4 linked regions of the Oreochromis niloticus genome follow. The protein of the gene in region 3 purifies or fractionates together with the protein of the main gene of each other region. This does not show direct contact. Links are inferred from orthologs where the notes say so. Each region holds a gene or a part of one and is shown on either strand. Other genes may lie near its edges. The genes, in order: ecd, eapp, aar2 and ttc27.

Region 1 (6,936 bases), on a different chromosome or scaffold from region 3:
CAATGAGACTAACACTTGACCAAACACTTGGTTGATAATAAAGACTGTTCTTTAATGGAAAACAAGCAGATTAGTTGGTGTGCTGGATGGCTGTGATCCTTGATAATGCCGTGGGCCTTATGCAGGTACAGCTGGAGGTAGATGCCCTTAATGGCTGGAGGGCTCTTGCCAGTCATTTATTATGGAATAAGCCTTTTTCTTTAAGCTCTGACAGCTGACCGATGAGAAAGTCTTTACAGACAACCATTTTAAGTAATAAGTAAAGTTAACATTCCTGTTTTTTTTATTTAAAATGAAAAATATTTTGACATACAGCCCTTGTGTTGTGAATCGCATTTCAACGTATCAGTAGGGAGGTCTGAAATGAAACCAAAGCTTGCCTGGGGATCAGTTTATAACTCCATAGTATGCTGTGGGAGGCAGTGAATTATTTGGGCTGAAACATACAGTGCTTCCAGTACTGTCAACTCTGCCATGTCATGTGGAAAACTCACCCTGTTTTCACTTGTGTCTGGATTCAGCCACTTAGGAAGGTAATCTGCTGCTTCAATCAGGAGAAACTCCCCATCATTATCCTCAACTCTGCACATATAAACAATTATTTTGGAAACAAAGACATAAATGACTGGTGAGCATTTCAATAGTGTTTATTTATTTATTGATACCTTTGTTTTATTATTTTGTGCAAACTCTGCTCTGAGTTTATAAATATTTAGAAACTATGAGCAGGATCACTATTACCTTGCTGCAAGCTCAGGGAAAGCCTCTGTGATTTGCAGCAGGAGATAAACGATAAACCACTCGTCCTCAACATTGTCTCCAAACTGAGTGCTTCCACCAATGTGAGCAGGAATGCCACCTGTGAATGAGATCCATACACACCAGCCATTAGTGTGTGTACCAAGTGTTAACCACGTAAAGACAAACAATGTGCATATCTAAACTGCTTCCTTTCTGGGGTGCTGAAAAGGTTCTACCTTTCTCAGGGTGATACTTGAGGTTGAATGGCTGATGCTGCCAGATGTACTGTATCAGAAGAGGGGCAACCTTTGCCAAAATCTCCTCTACTAGATGTGTCAGACGTTCCTCAGTCTTCTGTGAAGAAGAGCTGCTTGGCTGGATCAAGAAGAGCTTGTACTGGACCATGTCCTCCTCAATCATTCTCCTCTGCAGAGCCTCCATAGTAGCAGTTTTAAAAGACCTAACAAAAAGATACGACGCTAAAGCGATGTGCAAAGACATATGAAAGGTCGTCAATGTCTGTTTTTATATTATGACTTTGAGGGAATCGTTGGCTTCTAGATAAACTCAACGTATTACTAGTGATTGTCACGACAACCTCTTGAAAACTTAATTTGGCCTTACCTTGTCTTGTCTTCCTTTTAAATTGGCTATGTTGTGTTAGTATATTCTGTAGCGGCTCTTATTACGGTTATTCATAAATACGTTCTTTCACGCCATCTGTAACTATTTAGGTCCTACGATGAATTCCAGTCGTCCTCGCCAAACAGATAATAAACAAAGTTCCTACCTTCTGTTTTTGTTTTTACCGATTCAAAAAATACTTTACATTGTGATAAACGCACATTACATAATAAGTCTAATTTTCCACTAAATTTGATAAATATACACCTTGCATTTAGTTAAAATTACAGGACCGGCGAATACATTTTATAAACGCAACATGCTATTGCAATGAATGCTGGGAATTGAAGTATGCAGCCTTTGACTTTCAAGAAACATTTAGTTGGCCTGAAATACATTTCCCACGATCCCTCGGGGCAACGAAGCTGCGTATCCATGACAGCCGCTGTATTTTTGTTGTTGGTGGTGATGCTAGCTTTAGCAAAGAATATCCTATGCGCTGGCGATAGCTCCAATAACGTTAAACACTCATTAAAAAATATATATATTCCTTTATATATATATATATATATATAGGGAGAGAGAGAGAGAGAGAGAGAAACGTAAATTATAGTGAACTTCTGGGCTACATAATATGCTCATTTAGTAAACCAAGAATTATTTTATGAGGGAATGTGGAAATTGTACGATGCTATTTGTGCCTTTTTCTTTTTTTCTAAAAATAATTTGGCCACCCTTGTACCAGTAGCTAGCTTATTTTTTTGGACGTAGCTTAGCTGCAGCCGTTAAGGAACAGCCTCTCTATCCAGAATATCTGCGGGCTAATATTAGAGGAAATGTCAGAGCTCCATCTGAACCGTTCCCTGAGCGTCCTGGAAGTGGAGGCGAGGAGGAGAGGAGAGGGTTTGAGCATATAATACGGAGGCAAAGGAGAATGATTTCACGATACAACCGGAGACCTGTATCGCACAAACTCGAGATGTGAGTAGCTGACATCATTTCTTTCTTTTTTTCCTTCCCTAACGGTTATTGAATGCTGCTATTATTCATTGGAGGGGGATTTGATGATTGACTGCTAACCTACACTAGTGACAGAAAGAGTAAAAATGATTATTTGTGTTGATCGATGTGGTGTTATTCCAGCTTGCCCGGGGTCTGTTTTAGACAGATGCAGTGTGAACATGGCAATCAGCTCATTTTAGATGATTGTCACATTTTTATTTCATACCACCCACTCTATTTATTTTCTCTCCAGAGAAAGTTGTCAAGCCATAAGAATGAAATGTAGACATTTATTTAACGAGATTAACTCAATTAGAGATACAAAACCAACACTATGGGAAGATACTATGGAATCAAGTGTAATCACAGTGTAATGTTTAAAAAACACATAATCTCCAGCTGTTTTCACTGGTGTCTGTTTTCTTCATGTCATCTTGTCATATTACAGTGCAGCGAAAAAAATAGACAAATATATGAGTAAATATTAAACAAAAATATTTCAACTAAACGCGAAATGCAGTTTTTAAATGATTTCATTTATTTGGGGGGGAAAAACCTATCCAAACCTACCTGCTCCTGTGTGAAAAAGTCTTTACCCTCCCTTGTTATGCCATAAATTAACCACATTGTTTGGAAAGCTGTGTTCAATTTCACTAGACACACCCAGGCTTGATTACTGCCAGACCTGTTGAATTAAGAAATAATTTAAGTAAGTGGGTGAAAAGATCTCAAAGGATCTCAAAAAGCAACACACTGAGCTACAATCTACATAAACTCAAAAACAGCTGAGAAACAAATTCACTGAATTTTTTTATTCTGGAAATGGTGACAAAGCCATTACTAAGGCTTTTGGAAAACTGCAGGCCTCGTATGTCTCAGTTAATATCAGTGTTCATCATTCAACAACAACAACAAAAAAAAGAAACTGGGCAAAAATGGCATCCACGGGAGAGGTCAATGGCAAAAACCACTGCTGACCAGAAAGAAACGAAGGCTCGTCTCGTTTGCCAGAAAACATCTTGGTGATCCCTTCATGAAGACTTGTGGGAAAAAAATCTTTGGACTGATGAGACAAAAGTTGAACGTTGTACAAGGTTTATGTCCTGTTTTATCTGGTGTAAAACTAACTCAGCATTTCATAAAAAAAACTGCCAGCAACATTCAAACATAGTGGTGGTAGTGTGATGGTCTGGGGCTGCTTTGCTTCTCAGGACCTAGATGAAGCATAATTGATGGAAATATGAATTCTGCTCACTACCAGAAATCCTGCAGAAGATTGTCTGGCTATCAGTACGTGCACTGAAGCTCAAGCACAGTTGGGTTATGCAGCAGAACTATAATTCGAAACACACCAGCAAATGCATTCTGAATGGAGGTGACAAATTAAGGTTTTACAGTGCCCTAGTCAAAGTCTGAACTTAAATCTGATTGAGATGCTTTGGCATGACCTTTCATGCTCAAAAAACCACCAGTGTGGCTGAGTTATGACAATTCTACACAGATGAGTGGGCCAAAATTCTTCCCTAGTGAATTTTAAGCATTGCCTGTTATCGCAAACACAAACTCTAAATTGCAGTTCTTGCTGCCAGGGGTGGCACAGCCAGTTATTAGGTTTAGGGGCAATTATTTTCTTCACCCACTCACCCATCCATCCATTTAAAAACTGCATTTTGTATTTACCAGAGTTATTTTTGTATAATCTTAACATTTGACTGGTGATCTGAATCAGCTATCAGGAAGGGTGGCAAATAGTTTTCACAGCACTGTGTATGTGCCATAAGTTCATCAGTGACTATAATAGGGACTCTACATCTGATTTCTTTAGATCCATCGTAATCTGCTCTGACCTTATCATTCCCTTTTATAAAGGCTGTGTTTCTCTGACAGTTGCTCATTGCAAAAATAATTTTAATAAGACTCATGGTGATGGAGCTTTTGCACACCTTAGTCGCACCCATAGTTTTTTCTATTCTATTTCAACACAGTGTTCAGATTCAGACAGGGTAGTTGGAGTTGACATATTAATATCCTTCCCTAGCATCCCAAAATGCAATTGCACACTCTTTTGTTGATTGCTTTTTCACTGAATGCTCTAAATCTGTCTTTATTGCAGTCGTGGGTTGTCTCGAAGCAGCCTTGACCACCATCCTCTCCCAGAAGAAGCAGACGACAACCAAACCCCTCCGAGCTACCTCCATGACCTGCAGGAAGCTGCTTCTGCACACAACAGGTAACAGCTTGTTACAGTATTGTATTGAAATCTGTGTGAGAACAAAGACAGTGGTACTTAAGAAACTCTGTGCTCAAATAAGTGCCTAGAGTATGTTACAAAATGACTGCAGAGCAGTCAAGCCTTGCTTCTTGGCTGTTATGTAAGCAGACAAACCTAAGCAACACCAGAATAAGGCTGAAATAAAACAGCCTGCAACCAGTCACACATACACACATTCTCATGCTTGTGTATTTTGTAATGTTACACCATCTTGAGCAGACAACTGATTCTCAGGGCTCTTGCTATGTGACACCCAGAAGCAGCGGATTAATTCATATCACATTGCCTCCTTCAGATGCGCAGTTAAAAGAATAAAATATGAGGCAGCCTGTTAGAATATTCAATTGCCTTGACATTTGGCCTTCACTTTCCACCTTGATAATATCAGCAGCTGACACCAGTTCGATTCCCTCAGCGGAGTAACAGAGACTCGGCTTATTCTTCAGATTACACAAGTTGTTGGTTCTTCCATTTCTTCTAGTACAAGAAAAACTGATGAAAAGAGAAATCGTGTGCTGAAAAGAAAGAACGAGTGCTAGAAATACAAGACACTTCATATATGGGAATTTGGTTCTTCACGTTGTTTTTACAGCCAGGGTACATAACTGTTTTGTCTTTGTGCTTAGCTCAGAGACATCTGCTGCCTCAGGCCACTCTCAGTGCCCCACTGTCATCTCAGTAGACTCCAGCCAGTCCTGGTTAGGTATTCACAGCTCCACGGGTACTGGCATCTCCACCGAGAGGAGCTCTGTTTTCTCCTGGGGCTACGATGTAAGTCTGCTCATGAGAAAACTATTGATGCCAGCCTGACTCTGTCTGTAAAACAAAGGATGTACACACTGTGCACACTAAAACACTAGATATGTTGTTTTTCATTTTTTTTCTGTTGTCTTATTATAGACACAAACACATTGCTGCAGTCCTATGTTAGATTTTCATTTAGTTGCTAACATTTGCCTCTTTTTCACAAATTTGTGGAAACATTTAGAAGAAGACAGATGAACACAATATTTATATAGTATAGTGGATGCTTTGTTTGTACACACAAACTCTGATTCTGCTTTCTGGTTTGTTGTTATGTCGTGCTTTCTCGACCCTGCTGTTTCTACAAAACTTTTTCGGACTCAATGATTTATTTAGTTTTTTTGTTCTCAAGTTGCTTCTGAGAAGCAAACCCTCTCAGTTAAGAGACATTCTCTTAAATATACATCTTTCTCCGCTTTGATCTTTTTTTTAATGACATGAACAACTTGACCACAAACACTTGAATGCACCTCAAGAGACTAGGAGCTAATTATCATGCACGTTGATGCTTGCATTGAATAGTGATATGTTGCCAGTAAGTAAAAGGCGGCACCTTTAGTCGTGAAGAATAACTCTCTTTCCTATGTTCCTGTTTCCATCCCATAGGAGTTTGACAAGGCAGCATCACGGCAGGTGCAGCAAATGTTTGAGGAGATCGACAAAGATCTTTATGAGGGAAGAGGCAGTGGGGGAGGGATACTCCAGGGGCTCCAGGATGAATGTCAGCAGTGGGCCACACGTTTCCCTCATCTTCGGTATCTAATTCGCTGTCTCCTATCAGCAGCCAGCCCTTTTTAAATTCTCAACGAAATGGGGCAGCAGTGGGATCAAAGACTAATTCTGATTGTGGAGAAAAACCTGTTAAAGTGTTCCATTCTTCTACAGAATCACACTTGTTTTACATATTCATTGTGTGTGTCACTCAGTATCCTGGGGACTCAGCTGCTGTGTCCCAGTGATGAAGGCTTCCAGTGGTATACTACCTCAGGGAAAGGCAGCGCTTCCAGCAGGCCGTCAGCGGGCAAAGAAAGCGGTGTGAAACCCCAGGAGAAAGATAGGGAAGGAACAGAGTAAGTCTCAAAGTCCCAATCTGCACTGAGTCGATACATAAGGTTAGAGATCACTTGTTGCATCTCTCTCAGATATACGAAGATATCTCTGCGTGTGTGAGTGGTATCTCACCATCTGATCTAACGTTATCTTGGAGGGTGCAGTTTCGATAGCATCTTAGGCTGTTATGTTTGATTTGTGTCCACATAATTATGGCTGATATGTTATCGCTTTTATCATTCTTGGCTGAAGAAGATTTCAGGAATGTCAAACATTACTGAGAACAGCCTGTCACTGCCGCTTAAAATGGACATTGCATTTTGCTTAATCAGTCAGTCTTCAGCTTTTACTCTGAAACAGCAGAGACAAGAATTATCAGCCATTACTGTCAATAAACTCTGTTAACACTAACTATGAAACAGTTTACAGCAGTTATGTATGCT
Region 2 (7,550 bases), on a different chromosome or scaffold from region 3:
ACAAGAGGATGGATGGATGGATGAATTTGTGTGTATCCTCCTTCCTAATAGCACCTCATGGTGTCTGCCTTCATCAGCACATCTGTCCTGAGCTTCTGAAACAACATGTCTGATCTTTTGGCTCCACCTAGTGGCGGCTCATCCCTACTTCCAAAAGCACTAGCACAATATAAATAAAGACAGAATGATCTGTAAATCTTACAAATCCATATTTTATTGACAATTCAAATTTTACTATTTAGAAAAAAAAATCAATTCATTTTCAGCTCAAACAAAAATGTTAGGCAAGAGCAGGAATAGGTTGGAAAAGTAAGTGGCACTACAAACAAACGGCTGAGGGAACATTTTACTGCCATTTATGTTAAATAACAACAGGTCAGTAACATGGTTGGGTATAAAAGAAGGATCTTAGAGAGGCGGGGGTTTTTTGGAAGTACAGACTGGCAGAGTTTCACTCTTCTGCAAAAAAAAAAGAAAAAGAATGTCAACAAATTATGGAAAAACTTCAGAATAATTCTCTCCAACGAAAAACACTTTGAATATCTCTTAAAGTGCATTATATCATCAAAAGATTCTGATGTGCAGAAATCTGTGTGCAAGGGACAAGGTCAACACTGGGTGATTTTGGGGCTCTCACGTGGCATTAAAAACATGCATGATTCTGTCACTGAAATCACAGATCACCACGCCATCCATAAATACAGGATGAAACTCTTCTGAAATGTTATCATGGAATATTTCACCAATACTTACCAAAGCTTTAATGGACAACATCAAAACAGAGAAGAGACAGGTGTTGAGAGATCTTCCAGTATGTCCTTTGACCACAAAAGATGGTGCACTACATGCCAGCATCACCATCAAAACCTGGCTCCTGAGAATCACCTCCAGTATCAGTGATGCAGTCAACTTTCATGGCTTTCTTACATGAAAAACTCTTGAAATGACAATTTCAACCAATGAAACTAACTGTTAATAATTTATTTCCTCACCTGGAAAAAAAATTGTTTGAGTGCACAAATGTTCTAAGGTAATATACAGTGATGTGAAGAAGTTTTTAGTTTTTGTGTATTTGTCACACTTGTTTCTGATCATCAAATAAATTGTAATATTAGACAAAGATAAAACGCAGTAAATGCAAACTGCAGTTTTGAAATGATGATTTCAGTTATTAAGGAAAAAACATATCCAAGCCTGTGTGAAAAAGTAATTACCACCTAAACAGAATAACTGGTTGTGCCACCCTTGGCAGCGAGAACTGCAATCAGACATTTGTGATAACTGGCAATGAGTCTTTCACAAAGCTGTAGAGGAATTTTGGCCCACTCTTTTTTCCAGAATTGTTCTACTTCAGCCACATTGAAGGGTTTTCTGTTTAAGGTCATAAAACTGTTCCGAGTTTGATTGGGCCTCTCCAAACCCTTTTTTTCAGAGGTGAAGCTGCTGGTGTGTTTCAGATCATTGTGCTGCTACATGACCTGAGTGTGCTTGAGCTTCAAGGCACAAGCTAGTGGCTAGCTATTTTCCTTCAGGATTTTGTGGCAGAGAGCAGAATTCATGGTTGGTCATGGTCATGAATTGTCCAGGTCATCCAACAGCAAAGCAGTCTCACACCAATTACTTGTTGACCACAGGGCTGGGTACATTTGGATGGCTTTTTGTATTTTCTGAATGAATAAAATCATTTAAAAACTGAATATTGTGTTTACATTTTTATTTTTATTAAACCTTTATTTATACAGGTAGACCCATTAAGACTCAATGTGTCATTTAGAAGCGAGACCTGTTCCAGACAAACATATTAAACTTACAACAATAACAGAAACAATAAAATAGCTAAACTTGTCTAATGTACACAGTCATATCAAAGGCAGACAAGTTCCCAGTGATGATTTCACAAAAACATTTATACGTCTTTTAAAGTCTGCAAGTGAAATCAGTTGAGAGAGCTTCAAATCCTTCTGTAATGTTTTCCATGAACACGGGGCAGAAAAGAAGAATACCTTCTTTCCAAGCTCTGTGTGAACTGATAGAACAGTGAATGTAATGACGTCCTGAGACCACAGTCTATGAATAAACTGTTTGCATAACATGTACTCTGATAAATAACAGGGCAATAAACCAGAAACAGACTTATAGATAAAGTGATACCAATGAACCGTCCTGCGTAAGGCCAATGGGGATCAGTCAACAAGAGAATATAAAGTACAGTGGCGTGTTAAAGGTTTACAGCCAATTATAATTTTTAATGCCACATGATAGACAGAATCCAACAGATGAAGAGAGTGAGCACGGGCATTCGTGTAAATTGTATCACCGTAATCCAGGAGGGGTAAAAAAAGTGCCAGCAACAAGTCTTTTCCTTGCTGTGAAAGACAAACATGATGTGTTTCTGAAAAAGAACCCCAACTTCAGCCTCAGCTTCTTTATTAGGTGGTCAATGTGTGGCTTAAAGGAAAGATTTTTATCAGACACAATACCTAGATATTTGTATGAGGCCATAGTTCCAATGGAAATGCCTTGAGCAGATACAAGAAAAGAAAGTACTGCCATCACCCTCCTTCTGTTTGAGACTTCTGTTTGACTTTGCTTTTTTCTGCATTTAAAACCAGTCTGAGCTGACTCAACTGTGACTGAATACTATCAAGAACTAGCTGTAATTGTTTGAAAACCATGTCGATGGTACGAGAACAATAATAAAGAACTCATCTGCATAAAAATGCATAGATTCTTTTATTGCGTGCAAGGCTTCATAGACGTCACTGAAAACTTTTTGGGAAGCAGTTACAGTACTTTGCAGTTTCCTAAGACCAGACTGGAAAGGAGATAAAATTCTGTTTTCATTCAGATAACTTTTAAGCTTTTTATTTACTAGCCTTTTAAGAATCTTAGCTAAGATACAGAGTTTGGAAATTGGCTTGTAATTATTAACCGTTGAAGAATCCCCGCTTTTCAGTAGGGGGAGTACAAAGGCATGCATCCACATCTCTGGTAAAGTGTTCTGTTGTTTAGAAAGATTCAAAATATAAGACACTGGCTCAGCTATGATATTTGCAGCTAGAAGCAAGAAGAAAGGAGACAGATTGTCAAGACCGGCGTTTTTGGTGTCAAGGCATTTCAAAGCCTTACATCCCTCTTCTACCATAAAGAGTGTAAAGGGAAAAGTATTAGTAAACAATGAACTACAAGCAGAGTTATATATGTATGTGCTAAACAGAACAAGAGGCAACAAAGTGTTCATAACAACAATTGAGAGTTTTGGTTTTGTCTGACACAGGAGTGGAGTTGATAATTAGGTGAGGAGGTAGCTCTGTGGCAGAGAGAGACTTTATAGTTTGCCAAAACCTCACCTCCTAGGGTAATTTAGACTGTCAGTGGTTAAAGTCAAAAAGTAGCCACAGTTGGCCTTTTTGATGGAAGCAGTAAACCATAAACGCAGTAAACGCAACTGATGAAAACATAGCCAATCACCATCAGAATCTGACTTTCTCACAGCTGCCCAGGCTTGGTTTCTCTCATGTTGGAGACCAGCCACTTCAGAATTGAACCAGGGGCTCCCCCGACCTTTAACTCTGACCTGGCAAAAGGGAGCATGTTTGTCCACAAAGCAGATAAAACTCTCCTGGAAATATTTCCGAGCTAAATCAACATTGTCAATCAATGTAATATGACACCAGTTAAAACTGAATAAGTTGTGAAGAAACAAATTTCTTTTTGTGATGTTGCGGGGCTTGGAGTGTGAGATTTTTGCGTTTCCCACAGCACCAGCTATGCCTGCTTAATGGGGTTGGAACCATCAGTCATCTGTCAGTGCGCCCCAGGGTGGCTGTGGCTACAATGTAGCTTGCCATCACCAGTGTGTGAATGTGTGTGTGAATGGGTGGATGACTGGATATGTAAAGCGCTTTGGGGTCCTTAGGGACTGTTAAGGCGCTATATAAATACAGGCCATTTACCATTTACCATGTTGTGCAGAAGTCAGATTGGCACACAGGTGACAACCCTATTCCATATTATGACAAGAACCAATCACCTAAGTAAAGAGAAATGACAGTCAATCATTACTTTCAGAACTGAAGTACAGTCAGTCTGGAAAAGAGAGTTCCAGTAGCAGACAAATCTGTGCTAATCAGGCCTTTATGGTCAAATAGCTGCTAAGAAACCACTACTAAGGAAAAGCAACAAACAGAAGAGATTTGTTTGGAGCTAGGAAAAACAAGCAATGGGCATTAGACCAGTAGAAATTTGTGCTTTTTTCTGATGAGCGCAAATTTGAGATGCTTCCATCTTTGTGCGACGCAGAAAAGGTGAACGGATGGTCTCTATAAGCATGGAGGAGGAGGTGTGATAGTGTGGGGGTGCTTTGCTGGCGACTCTATATAAAACTTTATAACATAAAAAAGTTTTAAAGAGACTGAAGGGAAGTTTTCCCCCCTTTTTTCTCCTTTTGTTATATTCCTCCCTAAGCGCCTGTCCCACACTCCAGCCCAGTTGACGGCGGTAATGGACTTTAGTACCGCTTACCAACCCCTTATTAAACACAAAAGAAGAAGAAGCGGAAGCGGAAGAAGCAACTTGGCGTGTTGTTGCTAACTTATCAGCACCTCATGCTATTGTAATTGAAGCTCCTCAAACATTTAAAATGAATAAGCTGGGTCAAGCACAAGACTTTGAGTCATATGAGATCGAAGAGCCGAGCGACGAAGAGCGGGCCGCCAGCAGGTGCGAGGATAATACGTGTGTTTATTTTTAGGGGCCGATTAGGCTAAAGTGGAGATAGCTAGCTGGGAGCTAACATGTAAACAAACTGGAATAGCAGGGAGACTGCGCTGAGCCGCTCTTTGCGGTGAATTTATTTTAACGTGACATGGATGTTACTGCTTAATTATCATTAATTATGATTATGATGCTCAGGATTTTCTATGAGTCTGTTGTGGCCAGTGCAATCCTCTATGCTGTTGCATGCTGGGGGAGCAGGCTGAGGGTCGCAGATGCCAACAGACTCGATAAACTGATTCGTAAGGCCAGTATTGTTGTGGGGATGGAGCTGGACTCCCTCAAGGTGGTGTCGGAGAGGCGGATGTTGTCCAAGATAAAGACAATGTTGGATAACACCTCCCACCCACTCCATGACATGCTGGTCAGTCACAGGAGCACGTTCAGTGGGGGACTGAGATTACCGAAAAGCACCACTGAACGACACAGGAAATCATTCCTGCCTGTGGCCATCTCCCTGTACAACTCCTCCACTTAACACACTGTTTACTGCAACAGCTACACCCTTCTTGCACATGTTCTTTTCAGCTATTCTTAGTTGGTGTATTGTCTGTCTTTGTTAGTGTTTGTTTATAATGGAGCACTGTAACGAAAAATAATTTCCCCTAGGGATCAATAAAGTATTCTGATTCTGATTATAGAAAGGCGGCAGATTTTTATAAGTCTAAATGTTACAGGCAAGCGGATGAGAAGAAAATAAAAACACGAGTGCAGATACTTATTATTGCCGTAATTAGCCAAGAATTTTCTGGATTTATTATTATGGCACTTAATTAGAGAAAATTAAGCAAGACGTCATAATTATTAATATTTATAAGTGATGTCCTGAGACGTCTTGATGTGTCCAATCAGAAGTCCAAAACTTCAAAAGAACTTGTCTACCTGAAGATATGAAATTTCATTATTAAAGCAGCAAATATGTATGTACCGATGGATTTAGTGAGTACAGGCAACTTATTTTGGTTTTGAGCTAAGCTTAAAGCGACAGTTTCGACGTGGATTAATGGTTTCCAAAATTAAGTGCTTAATTATTTGGTCTGTTAAACACTATACGATGCCACCACATGATATAATGTCACATGTGCAGAATAACACATGAATGGTTACTTCAATTTAGTAATCTCCTGGGTTTGAGAGTCTGTTTTTTTTTCTGAAATCTTTCTCTCTGTTTTAGTTCGGAGGATGAGTTGGACGTGCTCCTGAACGGGACTCCGGACCAGAAAAAGAAGCTGATCAGAGAGTATCTAACCGGGGAGAGCGAGTCATCCAGCGAGGATGATTTTGAAAAAGAGATGGAGGCAGAGCTCAGCTCCACCATCAAGACCATGCAGGGAACCTGGGTACCAGCAGCAGGTAACACTCAGCTGCTAGTATTTGTATTTTCATAGTGATATGTCTGGAATTACTTTGCTATCAACTGATTAGATGGCAGTAGAGCTGGGCGATATAAGATTTTTTTCATATCACGATATGTTTTTTTCATTTCAGGCGATAACGATATATTTCACGATATAAGCCAAATAACTATATTTGTAAGATTTAAATGTGCCGTTGCTCACAAGTAAAATGTGAAATAATTAGCAGCTTGTTTTAATTAAAATATTTATTTCCCATAATAAGTTTAACAGGGCAGATGTACTTAAGGAACATGAGACTTCAGTTTCAGATAAATAAAGGCAAATATTGCAAACTACACAAAACGCAGCCGCTAAAGCATTTAAGTTTCAAAATAGAACAAACAAAACAGACTACTAAATTGTCAATTCCACTTAGAAACAAAATATTAATTCTAAAAATAAATCTTAGGTTGTTTTACAGAAGAACAGACAAAATTGACTAACTTTTGTCAATATCAAATAAACTGAGAACTAAAAGAAAATTCTCAATCTCTCCTTGTTGTATAGCTTAGCTTTTCAAACAGTTTTAACAGTTACTTTAGTCTGACAAAAGCCGAATGACGAATTAGCGCTTTCAGTCAGAGATTGAGCATGCACCGCTTTATTGTATTTCCAGACTTGCTTTCGGCACAATTTACAGTGCGCGCTACTCTGTTTTTTGTCAGACTTGAAATAGCCGAAATACCTTCACACTACGGAACTTCTGTGGCCCTTCCGTTCGACAAGCTCTCCGGCATTGGAACCATCATCTGTTTTTTCTTTGGTAACCTTCGCTCACGCTCTCGGTTGATTTTTCTCTAGTCGGCAAACTCATTTCCTTCATTACCTGGGCTGCACGGCTGCAAAAACAAATACACATGTGCGCCTTGGCGCTTGTGCTGTACGTAACAAGTCACGTGACGTGACGCTGCGGCTGTGATTGGTTCGGCTCTGCGCTACTTAATTTGGATTGGCTGTTGTTTTTTTGTTTTTTTTAAGAGGACAAGAGAGATGAGGCCTATCGCAATAGTTTAATTTTTCTATCGAGAAAAAGTTATTTCGCAATACATATCGTTATCGTTTTATCGCCCAGCTCTAGATGGCAGCTATAGCCAAAAGCTGTGTGTTAAGCTTAATCTTAGCTAATTCTAGTCATTGAATGAGCTGACAGTGTTTGTGATGTTGTTGTTTGGAGCATTTTTAATGAAAATATGTTAAAATAATCACCTGTGTGTCTGTGAAGGTTCTCAGTAATCCAGGTCATCGTAGTCTAAGGAGCTTGGAAAGAAAAGCATCTGGTCTTCTTTAAGTTGCTTGAAGACTTTTCACTTCTCATCCAAGAAGCTTCTTCAGTTCTAGTGAAGTTCCTAGTTTTTCACTTTTACAATTTTATACTGT
Region 3 (7,119 bases):
CTATTAAATCAAAAATTATGCTTTATTGTTTTGATTTGTCTAGAATCAGTCTAGAGTTCAGTCTATGTGGTTGTTTCAATTGTGAAATAAATGCATATTTCAGGCATTTTATACAAGAACTATCTAAAAAGGGCGTTTTCACATTTACAGAATGTTTGAACTCAACACATTAAGGTGTTTTTATCTGTAGCTGTGTTTGTTAAAAACTTTACATTTTTGTGGAATTATATGTTTTATGTCTTCTCCAGATTTGGCTATATCTGTTTATAAACACATGACAGTGTATATAAACTCTTTCTCAAGGATTATATCATGATATGTTATGTAGCCATGATTTTTGTTGTTTCTACATATCTTTTTTGAAATGTGTTTAAAAATACTTTGCAGGCATCCAATAAACAGTTTATAAATAAAGTTTATTGCAAAATTCACTGTTTCTCCCAAACAAGTTGGTTTCTAAGACTTTTTTTTCTTGTGCTGTAAGTTAAATGTCAACTCAAACTCTGACTGCACACTTTGTTTGTGAGATGTGATTTCCCACACTTTCACTTCAAGAGTGACATTCATCCTCCCGAGCAGTTCCCATGCAGGGTCATAGTTTTGACTGCTCTCTCTGGTATTTAATTCCAGTTTTTTACGTTGTAGGCTGACTTTTTTTTTTTTTTTTTTGCTATCACAACAAGCTTTTAGAAAGTTTAAATCGGCGCTTTGGATAAATGCTGCGTCGTGTCTTTCCAACGAAACCGAAAGGATGGAGGCAAATGATTGATTGCAGAAGTTGTCCTTGACTTGATCGGACTGGAGTTTGGTGAAATCCTAAGCCCGGCGTCAGCAATCCATGACGGGGAAGGAAATAGGAGCAGCAGTCAGTTTGGTAATGTTGGAAGCCACGGAAAGCCACATCGGAAGTCTACCCGTCGCCGTATTAACGTCTCCGCCACAGGTAGTGCAAAAGTACTGAAGGGGAGCCAAAGAAAAAAAAAGTGAAAGTTTGGAGCTCACCATGAGCGAAGACGGTCACGACTAGAGATGGGTTTGCTCGTCTGAAGATCCTGCAGAAAAACATGATAAATGGTAAGCGCAGTTTGAACATCTGGTGCGTACTTACGCAGCAAATGAGCTGCTGCTGATGAAGCGTGCACACCGAGGTATATTATTGTGGCTATTTCGACTTTGGTCGAGATGTCAGGTGGCGCAAACAGCTGCAAACAGACAGATGCTTTTAACGCACTGTGCGCCTCAGTGGGAGCCAAATTGAGCGATGATTCATGGCCTGTTTTCCGTGGTTGCGTGTGAAGAGTTGTAACACTGCTCTCTTTTCATAGTGTCTGACTGGAACTCTGCTCCGTAGTGTCCTGGTGGCTGTCTTGTTGGCCTACTCCTGTGGGAAAAGTGGATGTAACTATAAAGAAATACTGGGCTCCTACAGAGAAGTCATCTCCGTTGAACTACAGAATCTGGTATGATAACAAAGTTTATCATAACTGCGGGATTAATTAACTGTGGTAGATTTTTAAAGATGATTGTGTTTTAAGACATCCCCACTAACTAAACTACTATTAAATGCTAGTTCACTGGAATCAGTTGCAGCTGTCATAAAGCTTGTGGAAACTGTGAGTTAATAACATGTGCTAGGCTGCCCTCCAGTGTTTGCTCTTCAAGTAAAGTTCTTTTCCCCCTCTCTCTTTTGGATCACAAGCCAAATAAATGTCTTAAATAACTTAACACTGGGCTGTTTCTTTTGCAGAATCTGGCTGTTTCAGCAAATAAATTTAAAGAGAGAGACCCTTGTCCCTCAGGAAAGGTAAGTGGCACTACATTATATGCACTTTCAGCACCATGGACAGGGTAAAAATAAGAACCTGCGTGGCACATGTTGTACATTTAAGTTTGGGTAAATACAGAAGAAGTTTTCAACCTTTGACTGACATGCTAGATGGGCTATTTCACCTTTTTAATTTTCTACACGTTTGGGCTGTTATCTCATGGCAGGCACGTCGCATCCTGGTTTCCATCTATGGTATGACACAGCAGATGCGGTGTCAGGGAAGTGGCAAAAAGCAGTCTGACCTGGTGAAGCCAGTTGAAAGCATGGAGCAGCTAATTGTGCAAAACTGCAGTCCCCAGTATTTGGTAAGATTACTTTAATGTGCTCTACTGAGCCCCCAGTACCACCACCACCAGCACCACACAGTGAGAAAACAAGCCAAATAGCTCTTGTGCTATTTTCTTTTTCCATGTTTTTCAGGGAAAGAATGCCTCTTGTTCAGCTGTCCAGAAAATACGAGGAAAGAAGAGAAAAAGGATGAGGTTAATCCGAGTTATCAAGGCGCTGATCACTTGCTGGCAAAAACTTCAAAGTGTCTCTGTGCTTTCAAAGTAGGAAATGTATCTCCCTGGTTCCTATAAGCCTGTGCTACTTTCTCATGAAGACATAAGGTGAATTTACACAGTGTTCCTTGCTACAGAATATTACATGTGACCAATCACTGACTGTATTTAGACAGCTATTTTTCAAAAGCAAAGTCATGAATGTTTACTGTTGTCAAGTTCTCAGTGTCTTGTGTATTAAAAGCTACACCAGCATCTGCATGTCAGCATTGCTACTTGTTTTATGGAATAGCTTTATAGTAAGCAAAGATAAGCTAAAGATCGATGCGTTCAGATACTTTTAGAACATTTTAAAAGTTTCTCCTGTTGTACAAACTCTTATGTTTTGTGTTTGCAAGCCACATGTCATCATACCCAAAAATGTTCTTATGTCGGTTATGTAGTTGAGTATATGCCACATAATAAAATTTGTACATGTTTGATTTATACTATTCTGAAGTGACCCTATGCGGTTATTGTAATAATGATAATTATTATTATTAGGGGTGCTATAGGTGTATCAGCTACAATAGACTTTTGTTGCAAGATATTATATAACCATCCTTTTTTCATTATTTTGATTAGGGAATGAATGTTAGTGTTACAAAATGTCATTCAATAAATATTGCACAATGTCTTTATTATAAAGAATGGAAACATATGGAAGCTTGTTTCTGTCAGTCAAGATTTTTTTTATTTTAATTTTATTTTTTTTGTTAGTCAAAATTTTCAGGTGTCTTGAAATTTTCTACTTATGAGAAATCACTCAATTCTAAAACATTTAGTCAGTAACTTGACGTTTTGAGAAAAAAGTTCTAACTTAGCCTCTAACTTTTTTTTTTCTGAGTGATGGAAACAAGCTTCCATAAAGAGGACACAAGAAAAAGCAAAATGTGAATAAAGCAGATATTAATACATGCTGGCGAAATCATTATATTTTAAATAAAGTCTAGCAACAAAAAAAAAAAAACAACCAACCAATGCGCTATTTATTTATCAGTGATCTGCTCTTAGCCACTTTGTTGTTATGGACAGGCTGATAGATGAGGTGAGGCAGGAGTCTCTGTGTACTGTGATGTTTGTAAACGACATTGTGATCTGTAGTGAGAGTAGTGAGCAGGGGGGTGAGACCCTGGAGAGGTGGAGGTTTGCACTGAAGAGGAATGAAAGTCAGAAGAAGCAAGACAGAATACATGTGTGTGACTGAGAGGGGGTAAAGGTGAGGATGCAAGGAGAAGAGGTAATGAAGGCGACAAATATAGGAGGTGGCAGAGAAAATGTTAAGATTTTCATTTGTGGTGACTAGGATGGACAAGATTAGAAATGAGTCTACTGGAGGGCCACCTTACGTTGAGTGGTTTGGAGACAAAGTTAGAAAGACAAGGCTGAGATGGACATGCGCAGATACAAGAAGGAAGAGGAAGGAAAGAGGAAGACCACAGAGATTCGTGGATGTAGCGAAGGAGAGCATGCCTAGGTTTGGTGAGACAGAGGACGATGCTGGGGGAAAGGGTGAGATGGAGGCAGATGTTCGCTATGGCGACACCTACAGGCAGCATGCAAAAGACGAAGTGCAAATATAGATAATATACAATAACTATACACATACACAAATCATATAATATATCTATATAGTTATTCTATTATACATAAACGCTTGATAACATTTTAAATATATTAATTAATGTAGTTATTTATAGAGGGGAAATTAAAAGTAGACGGACACAAATGTGTTTCATGGTACTGTTTCCGTCCGGAGCAAGAAATTTGTGGCACAACATCCACCATACGAACGACTCGAAACGTCAACAGCTGGATGTATGAAGTGTGGCTGTGAGAAAGGCTATTACACCGAAGATACTAACACAGTGTAGCTTTAAATGTTTTTGCCATATTTTTCAGTCATAGAGAATCGCATCTATTGAAAGCATTAGCGTCAAAGCAGCAGCGGCTCTCTGTGTTAGACCTTTTGGGGAAATCCGTTTGAGTGATCTGCATTTAACAGGTGAGAGCTGAGTTTAGTTATTTAATTTGTTAGTAGATTCACGTTAAGTACCCCTTAAAAGACATGGCCAGCAGCAGCAGTGGTAGTGTGGACATGGATCCAGATGTTGCCCTGAGGCTTTTCGAGGAGGGAGCTACCCTCGTGCTGCTGGGTGTTCCTCAGGGTACAGAGCTCGGAATCGACTGCAAGAGTTGGCAAGTGGGTCCTCGTTTCCGGGGTGTTAAAATGATCCCCCCTGGTCTGCACTTCCTCCACTACTGCTCGTCAGGCTATGGAGGACAAATTGGCCCGAAGACAGGCCTCTTCCTCTCTCTCAAACCCAGAGAGATCATACTGGCCAACTGGGACGCCAAGGAAGAAGATCTGGACTTCTCAGCCTCCAAGAATGAAGAGGAGTTGAGTCGGGTTCGTGCCAGCTTGCGAGAGCTGGATCCTTACCTGGGCCCCTATCCCTATGAGGTGATGAGGAAGTGGGTGTCCCTCACTGACCGTATCAGTGAGGAAATGGCCAAAAACTTGCAGCCTCTCTCAGGTCGGGTATGTGCATTCAGTGACGTGATTCCCGAGCTTCAGTTCACACACACTAAAGACAGGGCGGAGCAGCCGAGGAATGACACGGCCTGTCAGAGCATGAAAGAGGGGCTTGACAGGCTCCCCAAGATGAAACAGAGGGAGGGTACGGAGTTGCGCTTCTCTGTCATCCCTAAGAAGACCTACCCTCCCGGGGCTACGCCGGCTGAGATCACCAAGTGCAGCATGGACCTGAGCTACGCCCTGGAGACGGTGCTGGAGAAGAACCACATGCAGGAGGCTCTTAACGTGCTAGGTATGTATCACATTTGTTAAAAATGGGTTACTCTTGGATTCATTATGCAAGAAAAAGTACTGACATTTATCCCCTCTCTCAGGTGAGCTGCAGTTTGCCTTTGTGTGTTTTCTCTTTGGAAATGTGTACGAGGGCTTCGAGCACTGGAAGTGCCTCCTCGCTCTGCTGTGCCGCTCAGAGGAGTCCATTCTGAAGCGCAAGGACCTCTACCTGGGGCTCATCGCCGTGCTCTACCACCAGCTTGGAGAAATACCTCCTGATTTTTTTGTTGACATTGTATCTCAGAACAACTTCCTTACCTCCACGCTGCAGGTACATGCACAAATCAGACTATAGTGTTTGTCACTTGAGGCTTCTTTATATACAACTAAATAATATATATTCATCTCACTGGTGCAAAATTTATTTTAGATGTCCACCAAGATGTTGTGATATTAAAAAGTTGAAAAAATGTGTTGTGCAAACTAATCTTAAGTAATTTAGGTTCCATTAACCAGTATCACACTTTTCAACCACCAAGCCAGAAGATCAGGCTTTTACTTGCTCCTTGTGTGACTTTATTGGCCCACAAAAATGACAGTTTAATTTCAAGATTATGCTATAGGAACATATCATCATTTATTAGTAGATTCAAGCTTTGTATTCTGACTACATTGTGATCTGTGGACAGAATTAGAATAAATAAACAAATGGAAGTCAAAGCAGCTAAAAACATTGTTTTTCTTCGCATTCAGTCGATCATTTCAATCAGCTCTCTTCATGGGTAAATCGGTCATTGGAAACACCGTCACTGGTCCAAATGGGTCAGCAGCTGGGCTATCAACTTGCCCAGCAGAGTTTTCTGCTGGCCTTGGGCCATTGGCCTGTTGGTTATGTTGAACCCTGCATTTGTTCTACTTAAACCCCAGTGGGGATTAAAGTGCACAGCAAGCCCAGGTTAAAAAAATTATAAAGATAAGATATCTTTATAAAATTATAAAGATAATAATTCCCATGCAATGAGAAAGGGATGTTTTAATTGCCAATGCCTTGAATACCTTTCACAACACTATTTTTATTTGGCTGGTATCTGAGGACAGGTTATAAATCAATCCGTATAACATACGTTCATAATCCTGAATGATCTCCACGACACACAGAAATGTTTGCAAACAGAAAATGGGCCACAGTATCAAAGCATCACTTGAATTGAATCACATTTACAGTTACCACTTTATAAAATTGTTGAATTAATTTTTTGTCACAGGATTTTTTCCAGTTTGCCATTGGGCCTGGTGTAGATGCCACCCTGCGTAAGAGAGCAGAGAAATTCAAAGCCCACCTGACCAAGAAGTTCAGATGGGATTTCGATTCAGACTTGGACGACTGTGAACCTGTTGTGGTGGAGCTGCCTGAAGGTGTTACAGTCGACTGAAACTACTCAATGGACTCTGTGCTCACCGAGAAAAAGGAACACAGAAGGAGAGCCACAAAGTATCTTATGCTACAGTCACACTAGGGAAAACAGTGGGTGGAGACGACAGCACGGCCAAACATTTTTGCAACTGACTGATCTCATTGGCTTTAAAATAGTTGCTTTGAAGATGGCGACCAAGTCTGTGATCACTTGCAGACAGCCGCTATCTTTAAAGTGGCTTTGGTGATGGTGATAAAATGTCAATACACACAAATTCACATTATGTACTTATATTAGGAGTGCAACTATGGCCTCATAGATTTGAAGCATAAATTCAGACATTTCTGCACGAATGGTAACGCAGCTGCTGCAGGATGATGATTCCAGCTGCAGAGTCACATAAGCTTTTGGCAGCCTCACATTTAAATTAGCAGCTGGGAAACAGTTGCAGAGAGATGTAGTGAAGTCTGGTTCTGACTCAGAAGGATTGTGTTGCGTTGAATCTGTTTGTGTTTATGAATT
Region 4 (6,896 bases), on a different chromosome or scaffold from region 3:
CTTACCTGAAGTTTAGTTCACCTGACGCTCCGACCGGCGGCTGCCTCGGGTCTCTCCTCCTGCCTCCCCTTCCCTCATCCACCTGCTGGCCTCCACCACTTGTTAATTTTACTGAATCTGTGGAAGCTACGCCATGGCCAACACCAAACAACTGAGTTATTTTTACACACCGACCAGCGTCTGGCCAGTCCACCACCAAAAAAATAAAATAAAAAAAATAAAAATCATCGGGCCACTGAGCAAATGCCCGGTATGCCCGATGGCCAGTCCAGCTATGGTCGTGCGTGCCATCAGTTAACCCTTCCGCACGCGTGCCTAGGGTTGCCGACCCCTGCACTAGACATAACTGATAATGTTGTTGTTTAATAAAAGTGTGCAGTTTCAATTTAGAGTATCAAAGAGTGGCAGTTAAACTTTAGGTAAGAGTACAAAAAAACTGTTAGGTAAACAAAATGAATACCTGTACAATAAAACAGTGGATCAGTGAAATATTAAACTTATCATTAACTTCTATTTATAGACTGTAAGCAGCAAGACCTCTCGATCTGATACAAAAACTTAAGGAAAAACAAGTTTTTAGGTACAAACTTTTAACAAGTCCATCTGTACAAGTACGTACATCAAATGAAGTGCATCAAATAAAAAAGAGAGAGCAGTGCAAATTAATTACATCTTCAAATGTGCATTCATCACTTGGCATGAAACCATTGACTGACTTTTCTTACCAACAGTCTGAACACATCTCGCAATGACAGTGCAGGAAGGAAACAGTTTTTTTGTATTCATACCTGGATAACATATAAAGATCATGACAAACAAATTTGCGACACTGATGTACAGTTTTTCAGCTACATTTACTGATTTTCCATCTATGTTTTTTTGTGTGAAACCCCCCCCAAATAAACTGCATATGTAAGCAAGCAGATGCAATGGTGTACAGAGGACTTTTCATTCTTTGTACTGTAGGGCACCTTAGATGCAGCACACTACAAAAACTCTAGAGCCAGCTATGAAGAAAAGGTGTCTAATGACATTAAAGGGAGAGAAACAAAATCTCTCTTTCAGGGATAAAACAGAAACCAATACGACTGTTTCGGGATGTCGCAAAAGATCACAGCACTTAACCATGCCACTCAACCAACAAAGCCCATAAGAAGACAGTGTGGGTGTCAGAGAGACGGACGATGCCTGCACACATCCTGGCACATAGAGCACCTCAGCAGAGCGCAGCGAACCATTTACAGCCCGAGAACAACAGTGGTTTCACTCACTGTGAGCTGTGTCCAATTTAAAGACATATCTATTTCATTTTCAACATCGAGAACGTGTCACACCAAAATCAAATGAGCTACAGGTCACTAAGTGCTTACCTGGCTACAGTGGGACCCTGTAATAAAGAGCCATCTCTCGTTTCCTTCATTGTTTTAGGCTGCTTTATTCCACAGCCTCAGCCTTCCAGTACAACAGAGCATCTGGGGCAAAGTCTGACTATTGCTATGCAGTCCAAACCTAATGCTTTCCTAAATCTTTCAGTCTGGCCATTTTCTTTCAACAGAAAAAAAAATGACTATCATGTTACCTTTAAACTGACAGTGAAAGGATCTTTTATTCTTATAAGAAAAGGTCTTCCAGGAACTGGATAATAGATTTACAGATAGTTGTTGAATATTGTGCTTTAAGACTGCAATATTCGTCCCTACCTTAAGTTTCTTTCATATCTCCATTGACAAATCACTCCAGTTTAATTAAATGCTAATGCACTGTCAATTGCTGCGGCAGAAATAAGACGTGGTCTAGGAACCAACCGTACTGAAGTCACACTAGAGACGGTTATCTAACAGGAATCTCGCAGTCTGGCCATTTAAAGCCTGCTGGTAACAAAGAGAGACCTAGTTAAACAGACAGCACTGTTTAATAAAGGATGTCTATCACTGGGGCTTTCTGGCAGTTGTGGATTAGTTTCAGGGTTCTAAACGCAGCTGACAGATGCGGCTCGAGTCGACTGGACGCAGGTGTACAGAAAGAAGACGTCATGCCAGACTCTAATGATAAACCCTACCAGGAAAAAAAACAACCACGCTAGCTTTAGTTCATAGCTTTTCAACATTACCATCTAATTTCCGTCCAGCTACGTCTCCAGCGAACATTGGGACAATTGGGCGAACTAAAGCTAACGTTAGCTAATGTTTAATTTCTTTTAAATCGACTTCATCATTTACTGAAAATCAATCCCAGTATAAGATTAACGCCGAATAGCTTGGTTACATACTAAATTTTAAATCGCTATACAATATTACAAGACGAAATAGCTACCTCTGCCCACAAGCAATGCAAGTTATTACAGCCAAAAAATACATGGGATTTGGTATGACATCCACCCGAGCGCGAATGACACGTACCGTAGCTAAGTTTGCTTAGCAGGCATTAAATGAACATGAACTCATTTAGACTGCGGCTCTAGCACTCAACACTTTTATTAAGACAACACAGGAAGTCCTGTCAATATCGTTAAAGGTTACACTTAGACCATCGCTGTTACTGTCAAATGCTTCTATATTTTAAATGCTACTTCGCTTGGCAGGCAAGCACAACCTGACAGCATTGAGAACCTGAGACAAAACTAACCTCCTTATGACAGTGTCAATAGCTACGTGGTGAATAAAGGAGCAGAATCAACCGACAGTCTCACCTGCAGTACTGAAAATGTTCTGCTTCCATTCCGCTGCTTCACTGGCCGTTAAAAACCCTCGGAGTGTTGCGATCTCCACGTTCAGCATGACTGAACGGATTTGGTTCTTGCCAAAGTCAAGCTGCCTTCAGTCAGGACGGTCCCAGATAAAAGCCAGCTATAAAGCGCTGTACTAACGAACCGATTCGGAGCGTCTCAGTCAGTGATAAAAATGTTTATTTCTGGCCATGTGGAGCAAGCGACATCAGTGAGCAGCCATGACAGATCCGCGTTGCATTGTGGGAAAACTAATCAAGGCGTGCACAGAGATGCTGAGCATTTCCAGTCTTCACATGGCCCGGGGAGGTGGGGGAGTCTGGGGCAATGTTCCCTCTAATTTTTAATGTGTCTGAGTGAACACACAAACTCCCTGAGCGATCCCCTGGACCACTGTGAGCGACATCAGACATGTGCACTGTGGTCACGCCAGCATCGAGTCCAAGTTACATGGTTTATTAAAATAATCACTACAGCATTTACATTTATTACACTGACTACTTTTAATTAACTGCTTTAGCCCACTTACAATGAAAATGTAAAAAAATCTAGTCATTGACCTGTGCAGTATGTTAACACTATTGGAAGTAAAAATAACTTGAACTTTTTAACTTATATATATATATATATATATATATATATATATATATATATAGCTCTGACTTGTATTATGAGTATGTGGTCTGGTAGCTGCAAAGTTTTTTCCAGCTATTTTTTTTTTTTAATGCAGCCAATGCGCTTTTAAACAAACATTTCAAACTATTTATGTTAAGATATTTATTGTGTGTACTCATGTTGTACAGTATGTTTAGCTGCATTATGGTTACTTTAACAGAGAGAGAGTATTTTAGTTGTCACCACAAGGAGGCACTGTTTCATTGTAAGGGCACGTATGCTGCGTCATCACGCCCCTAAGAAGAAAAACTATACCACAACAAAAATGGCACCCATGAGGAAAGTTTTGCCGCGTGTTTTTGTGGAATAAAGTTCCCAAACTATTAAGGTCATTTTTGCCTCCGTCGTCATTTTCCTTCGAGTTGATCGCTGTCGATGCTGCAATACTCAACAATTTACATTAAATTTGATGCCACACAGATTATTTGTGCCACTCCAAAAAATAATTTCTGTCCACTATGAGATAAAGGAGAACAACAGCCTGATACCTGCAGGCCTGACAACAGGAGATGTATCACTCCTGTAAAACCTGTAACATTCAGCAGTCGCCTCATTGTTCTGACACACACAAAACTATTGACTATACTACACACTAACTACACACTAACTACACAAGATTTGCGCTAAACGTCTCAAATCTCTCACATCTCAGAACACCGCCGTCACTCCTAAAACTTCCCCCCGTTTCTTAACAACTAGATGCCACGTTGCCATATCATTTTTTGATTGGTCGACATGGTACTTTTTTCGACCAATAGAAAAGGGTGGGGGGTTTTTTGGTTTTGTTTTTGCTCACAGGCGGAGAGTGCTTTCGAGCGTTTTCCTTATAAAACGTTGTTTTTACCGTTTCTTCCCGCAGTAAATATAAACAACAATAGTAATCAGGAAGAAAACCAAACATTGCATATATTTTTATCATAACTCTGGCTTTACGTGGCCTATCAACACAAAATCAAAACTGGTATAAAGTCCACACTTTTTCCGTCAATTGTTCCGTCTGTCCTGCTCACATCTCCAATACACATCTCCAGTACACGTTGTCATTAACGTGGCTTCACTCCACATCAGCCATGCCGCTTTGCTAGCTAAAACACCGGTGGCGGCACATAAGGACGCTGTCATAGCCTGTCAACGACGTTGATTAGCTGCGTATATACGAATGTGAATCGCATTATTGGCTAGACTATGGGATAAGGTGGCATCGTTCTAATCCCATACGGGAGCAGCCAGTCACTCACTGACTAACACTGCAAAACAGAATTGTTAAAGTATTAATTTTAATTTCAATTCAGGTTAGATTTTTTTTTTTTTTTTTTGTGCGCAACGCAGATTTTCTGTGCGCAGAGACCGTGCCAGTAGTGCGCAATTGCGCACGTGCGCAGCTTAGAGGGAACATTGGTCTGGGGTTGTTGGGGGGTTTTTTCAGAGATACTTACTTTTTACCTATACACGTAAATGATATGCAACTGACAAAAACGCAGAAAATGACATTCTGAAAAAAGGTGAATTTGTAGGCTCAACTAATTCACCTGGCTTGAAATCCCGTTACTTGAGTAGATTTAGCCGACATTAAACTTTGATAGTCCATAAATACAGTAAACTTGACTTCATAAGTTAATGTGTCAAGTAGTTAAGTGTCAATTTAGTAATATAAGACTGATATTGTAAACATCATAATTTGGAAATATCAAAAATAATTATATTTCATCTTTGCGTATTAGATGTTATTATGGTGAAATTAAATGTTATACATCAGGTGTTACAGATGCATGAATACAAAAAACACTGCAAAAAATTCTATTTTGTACCTGTCAAACTGTCTTGTCTTGGCATTTACGTGTATTCAACTAAAGAAACGAGAATAAATTGTTTAGATTAAATGAATTCTTTACTAAGTTATCAAACAACAGAGTTGTCCAATAACTCAACTCACAATATTCCACAACAAATCATCGCAATACTTTTTTAAAAATAAAAATAAAAGTATAGTCTATAAAGGATGTCACACTGGTGCCAGAAAATAAGGAGAAAAATGTGTTTTTAATTATAATTTTATTTTTTAATAAAAATGTAAATATGTGTGCTGTCCTACCTGTGCAGATAGACAGTGTTGGGAAGGATACTTTTAAAATGTATTCCACTACAGATTACAGAATACATGCCCCAAAATGTATTTTGTAACGTATTCCGTTACGTTACTCAATGAGAGTAACGTATTCTGAATACTTTGGATTACTTAATATATTATTATGCTTTTTACAACTACATGAATGTACTATTGCTGTGTGATTTATTACTTTTACTGAAGGTTACTCACCATAGCAATACCAACTAGATTTTTAAATCTTAATATAAAATGAGTAACAGTAAGGTGGACAATAGGTAAGCTGCACTTTTTGCAGCGATCTCATATAGAAAACTATTCCGCGCGAATATAAAACAAGTCCGCGGCTCCGAACCGTAAAGGCATAAAACCGTAAAGAGACCTCTCGTAGCCGAAAACTAGCTTTACTTTGGGTCAACTTTGTATATATATATATATATATATATATATATATATGTATATTATATATTTACATGCTTCCATCTCCCGTTTCTCTTTTTCTCCCTCCCTGACGCTCACAGACACATAACGGGTATGGCAGTCCATTCTCCCTGCAGCACGGACTACACTGCCCATGAGGCTACATTCTTTAGGACTATGCCTGTAACACTCTGCCTATTGCCTTCATATTAAATCATTTTTGTGAATAATTTTTCAAAATATTTCTTCACGTTGTTATGTGGGCCGCAAGTAGCGGTGACATGGGCCGCGAGATTGAGACACAGACATGAGAGCCTCTTAATGCGTGTTTTGTTTGGGTTTCCACCGGCGTGGACACCAAAAATATAGAATTCATAGCCTTATGAAACAGAAAAATACCGCCGTGTAATCCATTCATTTCAACAAAGTAACTGTATTCTGAATACCACCTTTTAAAACGGTAACTGTAACGGAATACAGTTACTCATATTTTGTATTTTAAATACGTAACAGCATCTGTGTGTGTGTGTGTGTGTGTGTGTGTGTATAAATGTACATATATATATATATATATATATATATATATATATATATATAAAGCTCCTTACCATGCATGGAGGGTTTTACCCCAAGTCCAGCACCCTGAGGCTGTACGCTAAGCGGAAGGAAGGGGGCCGGGGACTGGTGAGTGTCAGCACCACAGTCCAGGATGAGACAAGAAACATCCACGAATACATCACGAAGATGGCCCCAACTGACAGCGTGCTCAGTGAATACCTCAGGCAGCAGAAACCCAAGAAAGAGGAGGAAGGCGAGGAACCATCATGGAAGGACAGGCCCCTGCACGGTATGTACCACCGGCAGATAGAGGAGGTGGCTGATATCCAGAAATCCTACCAGTGGCTGGACAAAGCAGGACTGAAAGACAGCACAGAGGCACTAATCATGGCAGCACAAGAACAAGCTCTGAGT

The links.
Region 1: the proteins of aar2 (region 3) and ecd purify together in Homo sapiens (affinity purification with mass spectrometry; 3 studies listed by BioGRID and IntAct, counting the BioPlex papers as one, with this or other methods). This does not show direct contact. The link is inferred for Oreochromis niloticus from reciprocal best matches to the Homo sapiens genes AAR2 and ECD.
Region 2: the proteins of aar2 (region 3) and eapp purify together in Homo sapiens (affinity purification with mass spectrometry; 4 studies listed by BioGRID and IntAct, counting the BioPlex papers as one, with this or other methods). This does not show direct contact. The link is inferred for Oreochromis niloticus from reciprocal best matches to the Homo sapiens genes AAR2 and EAPP.
Region 4: the proteins of aar2 (region 3) and ttc27 purify together in Homo sapiens (affinity purification with mass spectrometry; 3 studies listed by BioGRID and IntAct, with this or other methods). This does not show direct contact. The link is inferred for Oreochromis niloticus from reciprocal best matches to the Homo sapiens genes AAR2 and TTC27.

The regions. Positions count from the first base shown.
Region 1 is NC_031978.2:12,752,127-12,759,062, reverse strand, and holds the start of ecd (protein ecdysoneless homolog), read right to left. Parts: upstream 3,022-6,936; 5' UTR 2,938-3,021; intron 2,347-2,937; coding exon of another isoform or gene 2,300-2,346; exon of another isoform or gene 1,794-2,299; intron 1,688-1,793; exon of another isoform or gene 1,366-1,687; intron 1,221-1,365; exon of another isoform or gene 1,202-1,220; 5' UTR 1,183-1,201; coding exon 978-1,182; intron 860-977; coding exon 742-859; intron 583-741; coding exon 495-582; intron 1-494. Other genes in the region: protein FAM149B1, read left to right, coding at 2,300-2,346, 4,481-4,597, 5,266-5,410, 6,050-6,198, 6,370-6,513. UniProt on the Homo sapiens protein: Regulator of p53/TP53 stability and function. Inhibits MDM2-mediated degradation of p53/TP53 possibly by cooperating in part with TXNIP. May be involved transcriptional regulation. In vitro has intrinsic transactivation activity enhanced by EP300.
Region 2 is NC_031983.2:4,398,490-4,406,039, forward strand, and holds the start of eapp (E2F-associated phosphoprotein), read left to right. Parts: upstream 1-4,531; 5' UTR 4,532-4,642; coding exon 4,643-4,722; intron 4,723-5,950; coding exon 5,951-6,129; intron 6,130-7,550. UniProt on the Homo sapiens protein: May play an important role in the fine-tuning of both major E2F1 activities, the regulation of the cell-cycle and the induction of apoptosis. Promotes S-phase entry, and inhibits p14(ARP) expression.
Region 3 is NC_031984.2:16,024,499-16,031,617, forward strand, and holds the start of aar2 (protein AAR2 homolog), read left to right. Parts: upstream 1-4,117; 5' UTR 4,118-4,438; coding exon 4,439-5,201; intron 5,202-5,283; coding exon 5,284-5,513; intron 5,514-6,447; coding exon 6,448-6,615; 3' UTR 6,616-7,119. UniProt on the Homo sapiens protein: Component of the U5 snRNP complex that is required for spliceosome assembly and for pre-mRNA splicing.
Region 4 is NC_031978.2:32,722,963-32,729,858, reverse strand, and holds the start of ttc27 (tetratricopeptide repeat protein 27), read right to left. Parts: upstream 3,024-6,896; 5' UTR 2,778-3,023; coding exon 2,690-2,777; intron 1-2,689.